4 linked regions of the Saccharomyces cerevisiae S288C genome follow. The protein of the gene in region 4 purifies or fractionates together with the protein of the main gene of each other region. This does not show direct contact. Each region holds a gene or a part of one and is shown on either strand. Other genes may lie near its edges.

Region 1 (5,644 bases), on a different chromosome or scaffold from region 4:
ACCATGGAAACCGTAAATGCCGGATGAGTACTAAGAAGCGCAACACATTATTATTTGATTCTTAAAGTTACTATTTTTCTTTGTGATCCCCCATAATTAATATATATATGTTACAGTTATATTTATTTCTTGAAAAAAAAAAAAAAGAATAATTAATCGTAAATTTCATTAGTTAGAATGTCGTCCCAGGTAAAAAAAAAAAGAAAGAAAAAAAAGGTGAATTATCATTCAACACTATATCTGCATGGTTTCATCACCATCAGAATCATCAACATTCACCTGGAATGAAGCTGCGTGTTTTCTTGCAGGATTCTTATCGTTAGTAGTATCATAATCGTTAATGGCTGTGGTATCATTGCTGCTCATCGAGGCCGTACGTGGGGTTAAAAGTAAGTCAACTTCATTGACATATTTCTTCACGCTAGTAGAGGAACCTTGCCTCGATAAGGTTTTGGGGGTATTGAAATTTGAGCGCGATTCTGGAGTGGTGCTGAAACAACCGTTCATCAAGCTATTCTTTGGTGGCTTAGGGTCCAAGACAAAAGTAGAATTCTTTTTCACGAGGCCTGACTTGGATGATGATAAAGAAGTACCGTTTTTGTTAGCGTGAAGATAGTCGAATGTGCCTGCAGGCTTAAGAGATGTCATGGATAATGTTTTCTTCAGAGTGTCTCGAATTCTATTCAATGATCTTTCACGAGAATTAATGGTTCTATCAACGTAAAGGTCAGGCAAATCCATCTTGCTGCTGAAGGCGGTGGAAGTTTCAGAGGACCCGCCATCCATATTTAAATACGCTAGAGTAGTTGTCTTTCTTGATTTGGAAGGAGACCTCAATGTGTGCATGGACGCTGTAGAAGATACCCTTCTTATTGTTGGATGAAAGGAGAAATTCGGCGTGTCCTTAGTATTCAAAGAATTTGAAGTAGCAAAATAATCCTTAATAAAGGGATGCTGTTTCAAATTCTTAGCAGAACGCCTAACGGCCGGGTCAATAGTAAAACAGCATTGAACAAAATTCCAAAATTGTTCGTATTTAGGGTCGTGCATCATTTGTTCGTCGACGTAATAGTCACATTTTGAAATACATTCCAGAGTTTCGTCGTCTGTGGTACAGTCAAAGGGCGTATAGCCGAAGGCCATGAAATATGTCAGTACACCAAGGGCCCATATATCCACCGGACAACCATACTTGTCTAGTTTGCCAACTTGATCAGGAGTCATTTCACCGACACCTTTGCACTTGACGATTTCTGGAGCAATATACGAGATGGTTCCAACAAACTCCTTTAACGAGTTTACCTTACTTGTGTTATATTCAGCAGCAAGACCAAAATCGGCGAGAACTAGGTCGTGTGCCAAGAGATCGTATTTGAAATCTCCGTGGTGTTCACCCTGTAGGTTTTTTTCGTTTTCGTTCACTCTCAATCTGAATAAGACGTTTTCTGCTTTCAAGTCTCTATGAACAATACCTTGAGAATGCAAAAACTCGAGAACGCTCACCAAACAGGCGCAGTACGAGGTAACTTGAGTTTCGAGGTCTAAACACTGATTTTCAACAATTTTTTCATACAAATCTCCCTTCTGACACAGCTGAGTGATCAGGACAATGTTATCTGCCGTCTCAAAATAGTCGAAAAGTTGTAAAATATGGTGATGCCCCTCAAAAATGTCCAAAGAATGTTCATTCTTTTTTTCCATATCTCTGATTTTCTCGCTTATTGACCTCAAAAGGTCGAACTCTCTTTGAATAAGTTGAATTTTGTTCTTGACAGTTTGTTTCTTAATAAGCTTCATCGCGTACAAATCCTTTGTGTGTATATTCATACATTCTTTCACGACGCTAAAATTCCCATCGCCCAAGGAGTTGTGGTTGGTTACGTATTTACATTTGAAGGTTTGAGCGTCTGCATTGCTGCCACTCAGTTGCGGCCAAGGTTTTTCTTCCGGCAGGCGCTGTTGTAGCTGGGAAGCAGAAGAACTAGCTGTAGTCATATCCTGGATGTGTATTTTTCTTTTTGAACTGTTGTAATGTCAATTGTATGAAAATATCGCGGTTTGGCTGAGACAGTCGTGGTAGGTAACTGAAGGAGCAAACAAGAAATTAATAAATAAACAAGTTAGCAAAACAAATAAAAAAACTGTCACTCTAAATAGAAAGAAGTAAAGAAGCAGAAGAAGTCATCCCCGTTCGACACGTTTTCATATTCTGAGTACATGATAAACCCCGCCCTCTTTTTCTTTTTTTAGGAATCCCCCTTTCTATTGTCAGAACAAGAAAGCGGTGTTGGAATTCAAGCAGCTTTTTTTTTTTCTTTTCGTCATACAGTTTCTTTTTCAGGAGTCTTGGTAGCACCCCACCCGTGGAATCGGCGGAATAACCTAACACGTGGAGGTTTTTCCGAGGTGCCAAAAAAGGAAAAACAAAGAGAAGCTGAAATCGGAATTTGAAGAATAGCGTGGGGGGGAGGGGGTTATTCAAGGAGCGCCTGTACCGGCAACGATAGCTTCGGCGGCTAAGATGGCAAACCTAATAGATGTATGTAAAAACATGGATGATAGCAGGCGGTGAACAGCCATGGTAATTTTAGGGAGTGCAAAAGTTATATGTAAGGCTATATCTGTATCAGTTAACAGGGGTGGAAAATGATTTGATAGGCGCAATATGTTTATTGGTAAAAGAGCATCTTAAACCACTTCATTCCATTTCTCACTATCACAAGTGATATATTATGTGTATTTTGCAATCCATGACGCTTTAATGCTTTACAAAGCGCTGCTACTTCTATTTTCTTAACGTAAAGAGGAGTGTATGACGACTAAGAATTGTTTACCCGGCGAGAGTCGATTCTTCGTTACCCGAATTGAAAATTTTTTATTTGCTTTTTCTTTTTTTTTTTTTTTTTTTTTTCAATATTAGCTTTAGCGATGAGATGAGATTTTATAGTGTATACACGGTACTTGAGTACATAGCTATTGGATAACTGTATACTATAATAATTAGATAAGCTGAGCAATATTAACAGGAGAAGTATGGCTACCCCGTCAAATAAACGTTCTAGAGATTCTGAATCTACAGAAGAACCTGTAGTAGATGAAAAGAGCACTTCAAAACAAAACAATGCCGCACCTGAGGGAGAACAAACTACTTGTGTGGAAAAGTTCGAAGAACTAAAGTTATCACAGCCAACTTTAAAGGCCATTGAAAAGATGGGATTTACCACTATGACTTCTGTTCAGGCAAGGACTATCCCACCTCTTTTGGCCGGTAGGGATGTTCTTGGTGCTGCCAAGACAGGTTCTGGTAAAACTCTAGCGTTTCTCATCCCTGCTATTGAACTATTGCATTCTTTGAAATTCAAACCAAGAAATGGTACCGGTATAATTGTCATTACGCCTACAAGAGAGTTGGCTTTACAGATTTTTGGAGTGGCAAGAGAGTTAATGGAATTCCATTCACAGACATTTGGTATTGTCATTGGTGGTGCAAATAGAAGACAGGAAGCCGAAAAATTGATGAAAGGTGTTAACATGTTGATTGCTACCCCTGGAAGATTATTGGATCACTTACAAAATACAAAAGGATTTGTATTCAAGAACTTGAAGGCTTTGATTATCGATGAAGCGGACAGAATCTTAGAAATTGGGTTTGAAGATGAAATGAGGCAGATAATTAAGATCTTGCCAAACGAAGATAGGCAATCCATGTTATTTTCAGCTACACAAACGACCAAAGTTGAGGATTTGGCTAGAATCTCGCTGAGACCGGGCCCTCTTTTCATTAATGTCGTTCCTGAAACCGACAACTCCACCGCAGATGGATTAGAACAAGGCTATGTGGTATGTGACAGTGATAAGAGATTTTTGTTGTTATTTTCTTTCTTGAAAAGAAATCAAAAAAAGAAAATTATTGTATTTTTATCATCTTGTAACTCTGTGAAATATTACGCTGAATTATTGAACTATATTGATTTGCCAGTCCTCGAATTACACGGTAAGCAAAAACAACAAAAGAGAACAAATACATTTTTCGAATTCTGTAATGCGGAAAGAGGTATCTTGATTTGTACAGATGTCGCAGCTAGAGGGCTAGATATCCCTGCTGTGGACTGGATCATTCAATTCGACCCTCCTGATGATCCAAGAGATTATATTCATAGAGTCGGAAGAACCGCAAGAGGCACTAAAGGTAAGGGTAAATCTTTAATGTTTTTAACACCTAATGAATTAGGGTTTTTAAGATATCTAAAGGCTTCCAAGGTCCCATTAAATGAGTACGAATTCCCGGAAAACAAAATTGCAAACGTTCAATCACAATTAGAAAAATTAATTAAATCCAACTATTATCTACATCAAACAGCCAAGGATGGTTATAGATCTTATTTACAAGCGTACGCTTCCCACTCTTTGAAAACTGTCTATCAAATCGATAAGCTGGATTTAGCCAAAGTAGCAAAGTCTTACGGTTTTCCAGTCCCTCCAAAGGTTAACATTACAATTGGTGCCAGTGGAAAAACGCCAAATACCAAAAGACGTAAAACTCATAAGTAATTTCAGAGGATCAATTTTTAATGCTATTAATGTGTACGTGGAACCAACACAACCGAAGTATTCATCTTCTGTTCTCATCGCACTCCTTTTCCTTTCTCTGCTTCTCCACTGTATGTCATTTAAATAAATGTATAAACCGCTGTTTTCTGTTTGTTGTCTTCTACGTACGTTGTCTGTATCAACCTGCACATATTTGAGTATGTAAAATCATGATTTGTAAACTATTGTAAAAAAACTTCATTGATATGAAAATCTGTCGTCTGCTCAATATTTTGTCTTCACTGTTCCCTTTATGCATCCCATGACGCCATTGAAAAGCAAAACTTCGTTGCCAACGGTAAGGCTTCCTATATCTATATCTCCCTCTTCAATAAGGCCGAGCCGCAATAAATAATGACGCATTGTTCCGCACAAACATCCAGTTGCTAATCTTGGTGTCACATACTTTTTAGAACCGTTAGGATCTTTTTGAATTACAGCCACGTTTGTTATTGAACCTTCCATCAGCAGGCCAGATTTGTTGGAAAATAAAATTTCGCATTGCGAGACAGAAGAAGTAGGTTCTGAACCTCTTAAGTTATTTATAGCAGTTTGCATGCGAACTCTCGCCCTAGCGTAATGATCTCTTGAAGTGGTTTTAAAACTGGTGAAAGCTGATGCGTTCAATGGTTCAGATGAAACAACAACATCCCAATTTATTGTGCTATCAATTAAAAATCCATTGAGCATCGTTTTGATGAAGTATGTGGAAACACTGTCATAATCGGTTGTTAATTTTAGGATAGGCTCCATAGGCATTGGAATTGCCTCAATTCGTATATCTCCTGTCTTAGAGACAAGTACCCGCATTTTATAGCATTGCCTTTCGTTGATCATTTTTTGAATTTTTTCGTGATACTCTGAATTTCCTTCTTTACAATTAATCAAGTTTTCAACCAATAACTTCAATAAATCATTCAGAGACGTGCTGAAGTCAATTTTAAAGTATGATAATGCTATTCTTATTCTTTGGTATTGTTCATCTAATAAAAAAAATCGTTCATAAATGACTTGTAGCATATCTTCTACACGCTGGCACACAATGGTCTTGCAA
Region 2 (4,976 bases), on a different chromosome or scaffold from region 4:
TAATTCGGATGATGTTGACAGGGCCATCCGCCAGTACGATGGGGCCTTCTTCATGGATCGTAAAATCTTCGTCAGGCAAGATAATCCACCACCGTCAAACAATATCAAGGAAAGGAAAGCACTCGATAGAGGAGAGCTTAGACATAACCGAAAAACACATGAAGTTATTGTAAAAAATTTACCTGCTTCCGTTAATTGGCAGGCTTTGAAAGACATATTCAAGGAATGTGGGAATGTCGCACACGCTGATGTGGAATTGGATGGCGATGGAGTATCCACTGGATCTGGTACGGTGTCCTTTTATGATATTAAAGATCTGCATAGAGCGATTGAGAAATACAACGGTTATAGTATAGAGGGTAACGTCTTGGATGTCAAGTCTAAGGAAAGCGTACATAACCACAGTGATGGAGACGATGTTGATATCCCAATGGATGATTCTCCCGTTAACGAAGAAGCTCGAAAATTTACCGAAAACGTTGTCGGTGGAGGTGAAAGAAATAGACTCATATATTGCAGTAATTTGCCATTTTCAACTGCAAAAAGTGATCTTTACGACCTTTTCGAGACAATCGGAAAGGTTAACAATGCTGAATTAAGGTATGATTCCAAAGGGGCACCAACTGGAATAGCTGTCGTTGAATACGATAACGTCGATGATGCAGATGTTTGTATTGAAAGATTGAATAATTATAACTATGGGGGTTGTGATTTGGATATATCGTACGCTAAACGCCTCTAGAACTACTCTCGATCTATATACTTTCTCACCTATTGGATCTGCGACAAGTATTTATTCATTCTTGACTTATTTCCAGGCTTTTTAACTTTATAATGTCATTGTGTATACGTATAATCTGAAAAAATTTCGAAGACTTTGAAGAAGACTGTGAAAAGAGTCTGATTTTTCCAATACAGTGAAAATGGGTTTAACAAATATCCAAAAAAGTACTTTGAACAGATATCGTAAATAGACGACTTTTTTATATGAATAACAAAAAATAAACAACAGACAAGAGGCCTCAGAAGGCTTACGTAAAGTACGTAAACGATCTACCTCTTACAACTGGTAGTTGCTTTTGCTCTATGTTTTCATTACGCTCTCATTTCTCCAGCCGTTGGGAAACTTTTCGATAATAACGAATGAACAGTTTCATACATGCCTAGGAAGATAGCACCACCTGCACTGATCCACATTGTCCGGGGCCCCACTCCACTGAAAAATACAGCAGGACCTTCCTCTCTGTAAATCCTAATAATAACGCTTCCAAGTGAGGCGGTTGTTTTGTTGAGCATTAATCTGGTTTTCAAGAAATCTAATGGTGTCGTTGTAGCTGCTGCGATCCCACCCGCAATAGAACCGCAGATAGCCCCTTTCCATGGCTCCACTTGACTTTGGCCATTGGCTTTTGCCCAAGTCTTTTTTAGATACTCGTATAAAGGAAACTGTATACAAGTAAACGGTATTTCTCTCATAATGGTGGTAGACCACCCTCTATAAAGATTTTTCCTTAAACCTTCCTTATTGTCATTTCGTAGAATTGACTGTAAAGTCTGCCAGGAAGAATTGGTAGAGTGAACTTGCGTCCTTTGCTTAACGACTTCTGCGGGAACTCGAACAAGACAAGCACAAATTTCACCAATGGAAGAGGAAAGCATGTGCGTTGTCGTATCAATCAATTGCTCAGATCCCTGTGAGTAAAGTTTGCTGATATATGGCCTTGATTTTACTTTCATATAATCATAACTAATAAAGAAAAGTGAAGCACCTGGCGCCGATGCTACAACAGCGCTTCCCAAACCACGATATATGCCTTTGTATCCTCCATTAGCAAAGAATCCACCCTTAGCTTGAAGCCTGGTTTTAATTGTGTCTATAGGGAAAAAAACCAAATCCGTAGAGGTACCAGCAGCGGCGCCACTTAGCAAGGAAAGAAAAAAAGTATTCATAGCAAACTTTTCAAAGCGAATTTTAGTTCATCGGTGTGTCTAAACATATAAAATCGCCAAACAATTTACAACAAGTGGAGCTTTAATGATCTCATATATTCTCGAGGGTGCACCCCACTGCAAATGTATTTATATACAAAACAGCGCTCAGTAAGCGAGGAAAAAAAGAGGCGCCCGTGCTTTTGCCGATACATAAACTAAAAACCAATAAACTTGCCAAAATACGTATATTCTTCAATCCATGAGGCACCACTAATTATATGCAAAAGCTCAATATCTGCTCCTTCAATGGCATTAGATAACTAACAACCTATGTACTATACAATTTTAAAATACTCTCTTAATTAATTCAACTTGGCTAATAAAGAGTCAATGTCAACTTCGATAACTGGTGCTGTAGCTGCATTTGAAAATTGACGAGTTCTTGATTCAGCCTCCCGCTGTTTTATTTTCCTTAGCCTATTCAAAGAACCAAATCCAGATACTTCTCTATTCAACTTGAATGGTTGTAAGAAGAAGTTACAAACAGAAAAAGACTCACCCATAGTGGCAATCTCATGAATAATATCTTCAACACAAATTATTCCATGATCTCCTAATTGCTCCTCGACAATATTGTTGTCATTAAGAACTATTTCGTGAGGTTCAGCCTCATTCTCACCCTTATAGATTATTCTACCTCTCTTTTGAATCAAGGAACGGATAGAAGATAAAGAAGGCTTGCCAATCACTACGTATGGCGCAATAACCTTGAGCAACGGATATACGTTTTTGGTCAATTTGACGAAAACACCAGTATTAGTTTCAACTAATCTTAGCAAAGACAAAATCTTAAATGCTTTGTTTGGAATATTTACAGCAAGCGGACCTCTTACTCTGACAATGAAAAGTAAAGCAGGTTTGCCATCGTAAGTAGTCTTTTCTCTGATTAAACCATCGTCTTCTTCTTCTTCAGTCTCCTCCAAGTCGACAGAGTTCTCTTCGGCGCCATTAGCTTTTTCTGTTATTTTCAGAATAAAATCTTTCCCAGATGCAATATGCTGCGTTTCATTCTTTGCCTTCTTATCTTCTAATATAGACACTCTTTTAATTCTTTCCTTTTCCCTAGAGGTAGCCAAAGTCTTTGCAACTATACTTTCAGCTCTGACAAATTTGTTCTTATTACTTCTCTTTTTTTTGATTTGTTCTTCCCTCTTTTTCTTAGCTAATTCTTGTCTTTCGATTCTAGTTCTATCAGCATTTCTTCTTTTCCTCAAAAGAATTTCTGGATTAGAATTAAGAGTTTGCGCTTTACTGTCTTGAGTTGAAGACATTGTGACTTGTATATCTTATTCTTTTTCCCTGTGGCAGCCTCTTCTTTCTAGGAACTTAATAACGAAAGTACCAAACAACTTAGACTTTTCTCATCTCATCGCTTCCCAGCTTTTTTTAAGCAGAGCTGAAAAAAATTTTCTTTTTACCAAAAATCCGTACTGCGTGATGAAAGTGTACATACATTATTCAATATTCACCTAGTTTTGTATATTAATGTAAAATGTAATTTAATGAAGATCCCAAAAAATTAAGCATTCGTTGCTGCATCGTTGTCATTTTGTTCAATTATCGCATTCCTATCATAGCAAAAATATGAAGGTTATTAGTCTGAAAAAGGATTCTTTTAACAAAGGAGGAGCAGTGATTACTCTTTTACCGGAGGACAAGGAAGATCTGTTTACTGTTTATCAAATAGTAGACAAAGATGACGAGTTGATATTCAAGAAAAAATTCACCTCTAAACTTGATGAAGCTGGTAAGAAAAAAAGTACAGATTTGGTCAAGTTGAAGATTAAAGTAATATCCGAGGATTTTGATATGAAGGATGAATATTTGAAATATAAAGGTGTTACTGTTACAGATGAAAGTGGAGCTAGTAATGTTGACATACCTGTCGGCAAATATTTGAGCTTTACCCTTGACTACGTGTATCCCTTTACTATCATAAAACAAAACTTTAATAAATTCATGCAAAAGCTCTTAAATGAAGCCTGTAATATCGAGTATAAATCAGACACCGCGGCGGTCGTTTTACAGGAAGGGATCGCCCATGTTTGTTTAGTGACATCCTCCTCTACTATTTTAAAACAAAAAATTGAATATAGTATGCCAAAAAAGAAAAGGACTACTGATGTACTGAAGTTTGATGAAAAAACTGAGAAATTTTATAAAGCAATTTACAGTGCAATGAAGAAAGATTTGAATTTTGATAAATTAAAGACTATTATTCTTTGCTCTCCAGGTTTCTACGCTAAGATATTAATGGACAAAATTTTCCAGTATGCCGAAGAGGAACACAATAAGAAAATACTCGATAACAAAGGAATGTTCTTTATAGCCCACTGCTCCACGGGCTACTTACAGGGCATTAATGAAGTTTTGAAAAATCCACTATATGCTTCAAAGCTGCAAGATACTAAATACTCCAAAGAAATCATGGTGATGGATGAATTTTTGTTGCATTTAAACAAGGATGATGATAAAGCTTGGTATGGTGAAAAAGAGGTAGTTAAAGCGGCTGAGTATGGCGCAATTAGTTATTTACTGTTAACAGATAAAGTTTTGCATTCAGACAATATTGCACAAAGAGAGGAATATTTGAAACTGATGGACTCCGTAGAGAGCAATGGAGGAAAAGCATTGGTATTAAGTACTTTGCATTCTCTTGGAGAAGAACTTGATCAATTGACGGGTATAGCCTGTATTCTAAAATACCCGCTCCCCGATCTTGATGAAGACGATGGTGAGGAGTAGATTTACTATGTAAGAAAAAAGTAATGTACACATAAAATTTGCAACCCTATAATAAATCGGATTATTCTCTTTACTTCTTCCCTATAAGCAAGTAGATGTGAAGCCGCAATTAATTGAGTTGTTGTGAAATGGTTCTAGTTAGTCACGTGCAGCTTTTTAAAAATATTTTAAAACATTTTAAAAAATATACATTTTTTTATTATTTTTTTATATATTAATGTTAAAATTTATTTATGTAT
Region 3 (5,935 bases), on a different chromosome or scaffold from region 4:
GTTCTATGGCGTCGTATTTTCAAGTTACCTGTTAAACTCGGCCTCTGGCTGCTATTCAAGTTTTTCAAGGGTATACTCGTCACCCTAGGTCTAGTTAAAAGCTATGCAGGCTCCTCGTCCTCTCTTCAAGCACCCAGTCTTGTGCTAAATGCACCCATTCTAGCCACTACAACTACATCCTCAGCAACCTCTGTGGAACCATTCGCATCTGTATCAGCCGTCAGTAGTATCCAGCGGGCTGTCGATGAGGCCGTGGACAGGATCGTCTCACATGATGAGCTATGATAATTTTAACATCTATATAACATAATAAGCGCATATACTTAGTTCTCTCCATCCTCTCCATTTATTTTCTCTCACCATTGTTTCTGTTCTCTTCACATGCGTTAGGTATAGCTTATACCCCCCACTGGTTGCGCTAAATACGCCTTCCCCACCGCATGTGAAAAAAGCTCGACCAAGCTCAACGCGCTGTTGCAAAATGGAAAAAATATAAAAGGAATCAAGCCATAGTTGAGAAAAGACCTTTCACACTTGGGCTTTTCTTTGGCAGGTGTTTGCTCTATTCTTCTCTTTCAGTTTGGTGCGCTATTCAGATTTATTGGTCGTCCTACTGTATACATCTCTTTCATTTTCTTTGTTTCTGCAGTGGGTGTTAAAATGGGAATACACATACCATATCTCACGTCAAAGACATCGCAATCAAATGTTGGTGATGCCGTTGGCAACGCTGATAGTGTAGAGTTCAACAGTGAGCATGACTCACCTTCAAAGAGAGGTAAAATTACACTTGAGTCACATGAAATACAGAGGGCTCCCGCTAGCGATGATGAAGATAGGATTCAAATTAAACCCGTGAACGACGAGGATGACACGTCGGTCATGATCACTTTTAACCAATCTCTTTCGCCCTTCATCATCACTCTGACTTTTGTCGCATCCATATCCGGTTTCATGTTTGGTTACGACACTGGTTATATATCCAGTGCGCTGATCTCGATCGGCACAGATCTGGACCACAAGGTACTTACTTATGGGGAGAAGGAAATTGTCACTGCGGCTACCTCTCTGGGAGCTTTGATTACCAGTATTTTCGCCGGTACTGCAGCTGACATATTTGGTAGGAAACGTTGTTTAATGGGTTCGAATCTGATGTTTGTCATTGGCGCAATCTTACAGGTCTCCGCACACACATTCTGGCAAATGGCTGTTGGTAGACTGATCATGGGTTTCGGTGTCGGTATCGGCTCCTTGATCGCGCCACTTTTCATCAGTGAAATTGCTCCCAAAATGATCAGAGGGAGACTAACTGTCATCAATTCCTTATGGTTGACTGGTGGTCAATTAGTCGCTTACGGTTGCGGTGCTGGGTTAAACTACGTCAACAATGGTTGGAGAATTCTTGTTGGATTGTCACTAATTCCCACTGCTGTGCAATTCACATGCCTGTGCTTTTTACCTGACACTCCAAGATACTACGTTATGAAGGGCGACTTGGCAAGGGCTACTGAGGTGTTGAAGAGAAGTTACACTGACACTTCGGAGGAAATCATTGAACGTAAGGTGGAAGAACTTGTTACTTTGAATCAATCTATTCCTGGTAAGAATGTCCCTGAAAAAGTCTGGAATACCATCAAAGAATTGCACACAGTACCATCTAATCTAAGGGCTTTGATCATTGGTTGTGGTTTACAAGCAATTCAACAGTTTACCGGTTGGAATTCGTTGATGTATTTCTCTGGTACCATCTTCGAAACTGTCGGTTTCAAAAATTCTTCCGCTGTTTCAATCATCGTGTCCGGTACCAATTTTATTTTCACTTTAGTTGCCTTTTTTTCCATTGACAAAATAGGCCGTAGAACCATATTATTGATTGGATTACCAGGCATGACCATGGCTTTAGTCGTGTGCTCTATTGCTTTCCATTTTCTAGGTATTAAGTTTGATGGCGCTGTCGCTGTGGTGGTTTCCTCCGGTTTCTCCTCTTGGGGTATTGTGATCATCGTATTTATTATCGTATTTGCTGCGTTCTACGCTCTTGGTATCGGTACTGTTCCATGGCAACAATCGGAACTATTCCCCCAAAACGTGAGAGGTATTGGGACTTCATATGCAACTGCTACAAACTGGGCTGGTTCACTGGTTATTGCATCCACATTTTTGACCATGTTACAGAATATCACTCCTGCAGGTACATTTGCCTTTTTCGCGGGATTGTCGTGCTTATCAACCATTTTCTGCTACTTCTGTTATCCAGAATTATCGGGATTGGAGTTAGAAGAGGTACAAACTATTTTGAAGGACGGGTTCAACATCAAAGCCTCGAAAGCTTTGGCCAAGAAGAGAAAACAGCAAGTTGCCAGAGTTCATGAATTGAAATATGAACCAACTCAAGAGATTATAGAGGATATATAGTCCTTTCACGAGGTAAAAGGAAGGAGACGCAATTGAATATTCAAATACATAGTAGAAAATAAATAAAAATAAATTACAAGATAGAAAAAAGTTCATTGTATTTAAGTCGAACTAATTGTTGTATGCATATATAGAAGATTAACTAACCCGGCATTGAAGACCTTTTTTTTTTTTCACCTTGAGAGAAATACTGAAAATTTTTTTTGCTGGGATGAGATGAGATGCCTACCTAAAGTATTTCGAAGGTGAAAGCGTTTTATTATAGAGTACTGAAATAAAGCACAATCAGGAATAACAAATTAACTGACAATGGCACCTTTAACCAAGAAGACAAACGGAAAACGTTCTGCTAAAGAAGTTAGTCATTCAGAAAAGAAATTAGCCAAAAAACCTAGAATTTCTATTGATTCGTCTGATGAAGAATCAGAACTATCCAAAAAGGAAGATGCTGTATCCTCTTCATCAGATGATGATGATTTGGATGATTTAAGTACCAGTGACTCTGAAGCAGAAGAAGAAGCTGACGAATTAGATATTTCCGATGACAGTGAGGAACATGAAAATGAGAATGAAGAGAAAGAAGGAAAGGACAAATCTGAAGGAGGTGAAAATGGAAATCACACTGAACAAAGAAAACTGCTAAAAGAAAGGAAAATGCAAAGAAAATCTGGTACCCAAGTGCAACAAATTAAATCCGTCTGGGAAAGATTGCGTGTGAAGACCCCACCTTTACCAAAACAGATTCGTGAAAAACTTTCCAACGAAATCTGGGAGCTATCTAAGGACTGTATCAGTGATCTTGTCTTAAAGCATGATGCTTCCCGTATTGTTCAAACTTTAGTCAAGTATTCGTCCAAAGATCGTCGTGAACAAATTGTCGATGCTTTAAAGGGAAAATTTTATGTTCTAGCCACATCTGCGTACGGTAAGTATCTATTGGTTAAGTTACTGCATTATGGTTCAAGAAGTTCAAGGCAAACTATAATAAATGAATTACACGGTTCTTTGAGAAAATTAATGAGACATCGTGAGGGTGCCTACGTTGTTGAAGATTTATTTGTTCTTTATGCCACACATGAACAAAGACAACAAATGATTAAAGAGTTTTGGGGCTCTGAATATGCTGTATTTAGAGAAACCCACAAAGATTTGACCATTGAGAAAGTTTGTGAAAGTAGCATTGAAAAAAGGAATATTATCGCCAGAAACTTGATTGGTACCATTACCGCATCAGTAGAAAAGGGTTCCACCGGCTTTCAAATTCTACATGCTGCTATGAGAGAATATGTGAAAATAGCCAACGAAAAGGAAATATCTGAAATGATCGAATTGCTTCATGAACAATTCGCTGAATTGGTGCATACTCCAGAAGGTTCAGACGTTGCTTGTACTTTGGTTGCTAGAGCTAACGCCAAGGAAAGAAAGTTAATTTTAAAGGCTTTGAAAAACCACGCCGAAAAATTGATCAAAAATGAGTACGGTAATATTGTCTTCATTACAATTCTGAACTGTGTTGACGATACAGTTTTAGTATTCAAGACTTTCAGTCCTACTGTTAAGGAACATTTGCAAGAATTCATAATTGATAAGTTTGGTAGAAGGCCTTGGTTATACATACTATTAGGTTTGGACGGTAAGTATTTCTCACCTATCGTCAAGAATGAATTATTGAGATACATTGAACTGTCCAAAGCCACCTCTAAGAAGGATCCTTTACAAAGAAGGCACGAACTTTTGTCAAAATTCGCCCCCATGTTTTTAAGCACTATATCAAAAGATTATTCCAGTATATTGACAGAGAATCTAGGCTGTCAGTTCATTGCCGAAGTTCTAATAAACGATGAGTTGTACGCGCAGCTGAATGAAAAAGACCAAGAAAAGTATCAACAGGTCTTAAACAACATTTTAACTACTTTTAAGGGTGACATAACCGAAGAAGAGCACCCAATACATAGAGCATTTTCTACTAGACTATTAAAGGCACTAATTCAAGGTGGTAAATGGAATAACAAAGAAAAAAAGGTCATACCATTAAAAAATGTTCAAGGCTTAGGCGTTCCATTTGCTGAAAAGTTATACGATGAAATTATTGACTCCTCCAACTTGTTAGAATGGATTAATAACGCTGATAGTTCATTTACAATTGTTGCACTGTATGAAACGTTAAAAGATCAAAAAGAAGGGAAACCATTTTTGAAGGATTTGAGAGGAGTTCAGAGTAAAATCACCACTGATGAAAGTAACAAAGGCTCTCAGCTTTTGGCTAAATTGTTAAAATAAATTTTCTACGATAAAGTCACAATATTTGGTATATAAGCATCTGTACAATAATAATAAAAAGCTTGATCTCATTGAAAGTGCAGGTATATATAATTGTCTCCTAAAAACTCCTTACATCGCATAATATCTGTTGAAGATACCGTTCCGATGGGAAAAAAAGGCAAGTTTAACTGGAAATATTCATATGTACTTACTATTTTATAACGACATTAGTGAATCAGAACTATCATAACAGTCAAGGAGACTACCTTTTTTTGGTTGCAACCATAATATTATAGAACCATGGTAAAAAAGAAAACGAATAATGACAAAGGAAAAGAAGTAAAGGAAAATGAAGGAAAGCTCGATATAGATAGCGAATCCTCACCTCACGAAAGAGAAAATGACAAAAAAAAAACAGAAGATGATAGTCTACGTGCAACAGAAAGTGAAGAGACGAATACACATAATGCTAACCCAAATGAAACAGTACGAGCTGATAAATTTTCCCAGGAAGAGAGTCGACCAATCGAAGACAGTCCACATACTGATAAAAACACAGCACAAGAAAGCTGTCAGCCTAGCAGCGCAGAAGATAATGTCATAAATACAGATATTACAAGCTTAAATGAAAAAACCTCCACGAATGATGAACAGGAAAAAGGGTTGCCACTGAAAATAAGCGAAGGTCCTTTTACAATCTCTACCCTATTAGACAATGTACCATCTGACTTGATATACACATGTTGTGAGGCGTATGAGAACCACATATTCTTGGGAACAACTACAGGTGATCTTTTACATTACTTTGAACTTGAACGTGGAAACTATATGCTTGTGTCGCAAACAAAGTTTGATGCAGAATCAAATTCGAAGATAGACAAAATCCTTCTTTTACCTAAAGTAGAAGGCGCACTAATATTATGTGATAACGAACTAGTTTTATTTATTCTCCCAGAATTTGCACCAAGGCCCAACACAACTAGACTTAAAGGTATTAGTGATGTCGTTATTTGTAATTTTTCCCGAAGCTCGAAGGCTTATAGAATATATGCATTTCACGCAGAAGGCGTAAGACTACTCAAAATATCTGCAGATTCATTAGTACTTACCAAAGCTTTTAATTTCAAACTAATAGATAAAGCTTGTGCGCACGAAGAAACATTAATGGTTTCGAAGTTAAATAGTTACGAACTTATAAATCTAAAGTCGTCACAGGTAATTCCATTATTTCGAATAAGTGAGACTGACGAAGACTTAG
Region 4 (4,815 bases):
GAAATGACGCTGACTCCACTTCAGTTAAATTATTATTCAACAACTCTTCAAGGTTAATTGATGGAAGTTTTTTTAAGAGCGCACTTATTTGTTCCGTTTTCTCCCCATTTGGCAAAGCTTCAATAATAAGTTCTCTTATCAAAGTTAGAAAAATTGATTCTTCATTCAAGTTAGCATATTCCAAAATTTTACCACGGTTAAGAAATTGGGCAAAATTTTCATCTAATATGGAAAAGTCTCTATTGTCAGAAAATGATACACTTTGCGTCATTTCTAAAGATCTCCAATCTTCGTGTAATTTTTGTAGTAGGTGGCCGCGCTTGTCGTTGCATAAACGTGAGAACTGTAAGTTTTCTAAAGTTTTGGTCCATCTTGTATAGGATTTCATTAGTTTATCCCTCATCTCGAGCATTCCTAGTATTTTGCTATATGAATTTCTTTCGAATGCCACCTGAATATATCTTGGTAAATTAGCCAGTGATGTATCGTATAAATTATTATGTTCATGGAATGTCTTGGAGTAAAAATCGCTCTGTTTATTCGGGAACAAAGTAGAAAATCTCGAGAATATCATGTAATCTAGGGAATCTGTTTGAACGTTTTTAATCTTTAGGTTTATGAAATGGAAATAAGCATCGGGAACTAAACCCAGGTACATGTATAAAACAATCAGCCAGCACATAGTATCGAAGTTATGAGGGTCCTTGGCTTGGTAATTTTCCAATATCGTTATACACAAAAGCACGTCTTTCAATTCAGGATTAGTTTTCTTGCACTTGTCCTTGACTATTTCTAATAAGAATGTAGAACAGGAGGAATAATCCGTTACCGATTTTTTTTCCAGGGTCCCCTTAAACTTGTTATAGTTATTGATTGAGTCGCTTCCAATAAGTCCCAATTCTAGAATATTACAATGATGAATCAAATCCTTATCCTCTGGATCGTACTTAGACATAATGCTCTTAAGCATATCTATGTTAATGTGGCCGCTGTAATGATTCAAATCGATTGAACAACAAGGTTTGTTATGGTACTTTGATAAATAGTACGACAAAGATGATTCCGAAACCGAATCGGTGTACATTATATCAAGTTTCAAGCGCGCCAATCGAGTATTCCTTGAGTCTCCCAAATTTTCATCAATCCATTGTTTGACTTCGTCTTTAGATTTAGAAAGTTTGTAGGCAGCATCAATCAAGTTTGTGATCAATTCATAATCATCAAGGCCCTTTTCAATAAGTTTTGAACAAACTTCAAAAAGTTTTTGTGGAGAATTCAATAACTTGGTATGCTTCAAGATAAAGTTTTTCAAATACAAGTTTACTGAAGTATCAAAATTGGCAAAGGTAATCGCAACAATCTCTTCCGAGATTTCTCTAGATTGAGGGAATAGTTCATCCAACACCAAACAATAAACTATAATCTCTTGAACATTTTGAAATGGTTTCAAGTCTAACAAAGACTGGCGCGCTAGCCTGGAGAGCAAAATTTTCTTGGGATCTGAAAGAGTGTTTTCCTGAAACCTTGATACGGCTAAAATCGAGATTGCATTCCAAAAATAATATGCTCTTTTAGGCAGGTTTCCACTGTCACTGTATTTAGCTAGCTGTAGAGATGCTTTGCTCATTTGGTTATAATTGGAATCTTCCAATGCTTTCATAAACCAGTGATAAGACAATTCGTAGCTAGGGAATTTGAAATTTCCTCTTTCATACACGTGCAATGCTTCGTCGTATTTCCCTAACTCTACGAAGAAGTTGTGCAAAAACTCCAAGGAACGCGTGTCGCCCGTAATCGTTGTCCCTTTCAGCCCATATGGTTCTTCTAGCAGTTTATTGTAATCGAACTTACCAGGTGACTGCTTGAATTTAACATAGGTTTCCAAAATCTTGAAGTACAACGCATTGGGAAATTGTTTTTGCAATTGCCCCAGTTTTGCATAGCATTGTTTGAAGTTGGACCTGCTTACTAGTCCTAATATCTCCTCCTGTATCTTGTCGGACATGCTTCGATGCGATGATTGCTGTACCGAGCTCGTTATGTATCGTTGCTTCGCCAATGAATTCTGTTGCAGCTGACATTTATTATTTATTTTCCTAAAGCCCTCGGCGGTCCGTGGACAGTGATTTTCGTTAAAGGTGACTGAAAAATTTTAGATGCTCATCGCGATGGTTCTCAAAGAATCTATCACCTAAAAAGATACAGAAATTGCTATAATATTTACGAGTTAGAAGGTTACTTAGCCTTATTTTGCTTCACGTCTTTCTTTATACATTCGTCAGGTGTTGAAAGAGTTCAACCAAAGATGTCTTCTATCTACAAAGCCCTCGCAGGAAAGAGCAAAGATAATAAATCTGAAAAGAAGCAAGGCAATGTCAAGCAATTTATGAACAAGCAAAGAACTCTTCTGATTTCGAGTAGAGGTGTTAACTATAGACATCGTCATTTAATTCAAGACTTAAGCGGATTATTGCCTCATTCCAGAAAGGAGCCAAAATTGGATACTAAAAAGGATCTTCAACAGTTGAACGAAATCGCTGAGTTGTACAATTGTAATAATGTTCTATTCTTTGAGGCCAGAAAACACCAAGATTTGTATCTATGGTTATCCAAGCCGCCAAATGGGCCAACTATAAAATTTTACATTCAAAACTTGCATACTATGGATGAGTTGAATTTTACAGGTAACTGTTTAAAGGGTTCTCGTCCGGTATTGTCGTTTGATCAACGTTTCGAATCCTCCCCACACTACCAATTAATTAAGGAGTTGCTAGTGCATAATTTTGGTGTACCACCAAATGCTAGAAAATCTAAGCCATTTATTGATCACGTCATGTCCTTCAGTATTGTAGATGATAAAATATGGGTGAGGACATATGAGATCTCACACAGTACTAAGAACAAAGAAGAATATGAAGATGGCGAAGAAGACATATCATTAGTGGAAATTGGCCCTAGGTTTGTTATGACTGTCATTTTGATCCTAGAAGGTTCATTTGGTGGTCCAAAGATCTATGAAAATAAACAATATGTTTCGCCAAACGTCGTAAGAGCTCAAATTAAACAACAAGCTGCTGAGGAGGCAAAGTCTAGAGCTGAAGCTGCTGTGGAAAGAAAAATTAAGAGAAGAGAGAATGTTCTTGCCGCCGATCCTTTATCAAACGATGCCTTGTTTAAATAATAAGCATAATACTATCAGAGAGTTTTACATAACATTGTATATTAAAAAGATATAACAAGAAAAGAGTGGATGTAGCAACTGTCTAGTTATAGACCTCTTTTTAATAATTTAATGTTTAAATCTTGAATATCGAAAGCTGTATATATAAAGAATATTTATTGTATGTACAAAAGATCTTCAACCGCGCAGCAATCAAGCTATATTTACGCATCTTGCTTTTCCGAATGTTTCTTTAAGTAGTTTTCAATGAATTTTTCCTCGTCTTTGTTGTCTGTTTTGATGTCGACTGTTTTTGGCTTTGCGCTTTTAAAAGGATTTGGAACAACCAATAAACCTAGCAGTCCTAATGTCCCAATGGCTAGTTGGTGTGGAGGGATAGCTTTCCCCATGAAATGATAAGCAGCACCCATTGTCGTAGTTATAAATTATTATTTGAAGTCACCTGGCCTTATTCAATGCTAACGAGTTATGTGCTCTATGGGGGGACTTGCTCCTAAAAAGCTCTTTTTTTTCCCTTTGCATCGAGAAGCGGACTCTGACCAATCACCATCGAGATCGCGATGAAGTATTTTCTATACCATATTTAGATATAAACCAAAATTAATGCTGGTAAGATGCAGTATAATGGGTTTTACTTATTTATGATTCATTCTATAAGCGCTTAATAAGTTTTGTAATCGCGTCACGATCTCAGTACACTCTTGACCTGAAACTGCTTCAAAGTAGTACCTTTTGATATCATCTTGCCCCTCTCTTCTTACGAAAATTTTGAAATGCTCAGGGACTCTTTTGGATTTTTTGACAAGAACCACTTGACTAATGTGTAACGACTTAGTCTTTACATTATCATGCCAATGTATACGTCCCTCCGGGGGTACAATGTATATGTAGTCGCCATCAATGGCTAGTGTTCTTTCATGCTTGTTTATAAATGACATTTGCTGCCTTCTCCATACCTTATATTTATGATACGCTCCGGTAAAAAGATCTTGGAAGTTATCTCCAACTCCATTTGGAGTGTCAGGCGTGTGCTCCATCGTACTCTGAGAACGGTTTATATTATGAAACTGCAGTGTCCCATGCAAAGAGGATTTGGATGAATTCTTGTTCTTGAAAAACCCATTTCCATTGGCGAGACCGCCAGCCGTTGAAACACTTCCACTAGCAACACTTGATGACGAATGCTGCTTTGCCAAGCCCAGCTTATACTTCGTGGATATCTTCTTAGCTTTGGATGTAACTTTCGTGTTTTCAGGAATGGCAGCCACAGCCCCTCCAGCATCTGCTTTGAGATAAGAGTTCAGAGGCTCCAAAGTTAACGGAGTTAGATCATTACTTTGGATCGTTGGCAAAACGGGCTTCTTTAGGTCAGGTTTCATTTTTTCCAAATGCAACTCCCTTGCATCTTTTTTAGAGATGAGTTCCACCTTATTAATACCATCGAGCCTTAATACCGTATCATTCAAGTCCAGTATATAGTTCTTTCCTAGAACTTTTAATGCATATTCATTAGGATCCATATTTTTCATTTTGCAATATTTTACCAAAATATCGTTTATATGTGAGGTCACTAAAACACTTATGGTAGTATAGTTAAATTTGGGATTCACGTTAGGATACAAATATACTGTTAC

What was found.
Region 1: the proteins of BRX1 (region 4) and HAS1 purify together in Saccharomyces cerevisiae (affinity purification with mass spectrometry; 4 studies listed by BioGRID). This does not show direct contact.
Region 2: the proteins of BRX1 (region 4) and RLP7 purify together in Saccharomyces cerevisiae (affinity purification with mass spectrometry; 4 studies listed by BioGRID). This does not show direct contact.
Region 3: the proteins of BRX1 (region 4) and PUF6 purify together in Saccharomyces cerevisiae (affinity purification with western blotting; 4 studies listed by BioGRID, with this or other methods). This does not show direct contact.

What each region holds. Positions count from the first base shown.
Region 1 is NC_001145.3:848,981-854,624, reverse strand, and holds HAS1 (ATP-dependent RNA helicase HAS1), read left to right. Parts: upstream 1-3,033; coding exon 3,034-4,551; downstream 4,552-5,644. Other genes in the region: protein kinase TDA1, read right to left, coding at 235-1,995; aminodeoxychorismate lyase ABZ2, read right to left, coding at 4,816-5,644. UniProt on the Saccharomyces cerevisiae protein: ATP-dependent RNA helicase involved in 40S ribosomal subunit biogenesis. Required for the processing and cleavage of 35S pre-rRNA at sites A0, A1, and A2, leading to mature 18S rRNA.
Region 2 is NC_001146.8:623,880-628,855, forward strand, and holds RLP7 (Rlp7p), read right to left. Parts: upstream 3,264-4,976; coding exon 2,295-3,263; downstream 1-2,294. Other genes in the region: HRB1 (mRNA-binding protein), read left to right, coding at 1-742; PET8 (Pet8p), read right to left, coding at 1,096-1,950; ribosome dissociation factor DOM34, read left to right, coding at 3,577-4,737. UniProt on the Saccharomyces cerevisiae protein: Involved in the biogenesis of the 60S ribosomal subunit. May act as a specificity factor that binds precursor rRNAs and tethers the enzymes that carry out the early 5' to 3' exonucleolytic reactions that generate the mature rRNAs.
Region 3 is NC_001136.10:1,440,193-1,446,127, reverse strand, and holds PUF6 (Puf6p), read left to right. Parts: upstream 1-2,724; coding exon 2,725-4,695; downstream 4,696-5,935. Other genes in the region: SEC20 (Sec20p), read left to right, coding at 1-285; myo-inositol transporter ITR1, read left to right, coding at 661-2,415; CORVET complex subunit VPS3, read left to right, coding at 4,978-5,935. UniProt on the Saccharomyces cerevisiae protein: RNA-binding protein involved in post-transcriptional regulation. Component of the ASH1 mRNP which transports the ASH1 mRNA to the distal tip of the bud, where the ASH1 protein is translated and targeted to the daughter cell nucleus.
Region 4 is NC_001147.6:184,214-189,028, reverse strand, and holds BRX1 (ribosome biogenesis protein BRX1), read left to right. Parts: upstream 1-2,305; coding exon 2,306-3,181; downstream 3,182-4,815. Other genes in the region: MDM20 (Mdm20p), read right to left, coding at 1-2,005; ATP19 (F1F0 ATP synthase subunit k), read right to left, coding at 3,385-3,591; AVO1 (Avo1p), read right to left, coding at 3,817-4,815. UniProt on the Saccharomyces cerevisiae protein: Required for biogenesis of the 60S ribosomal subunit.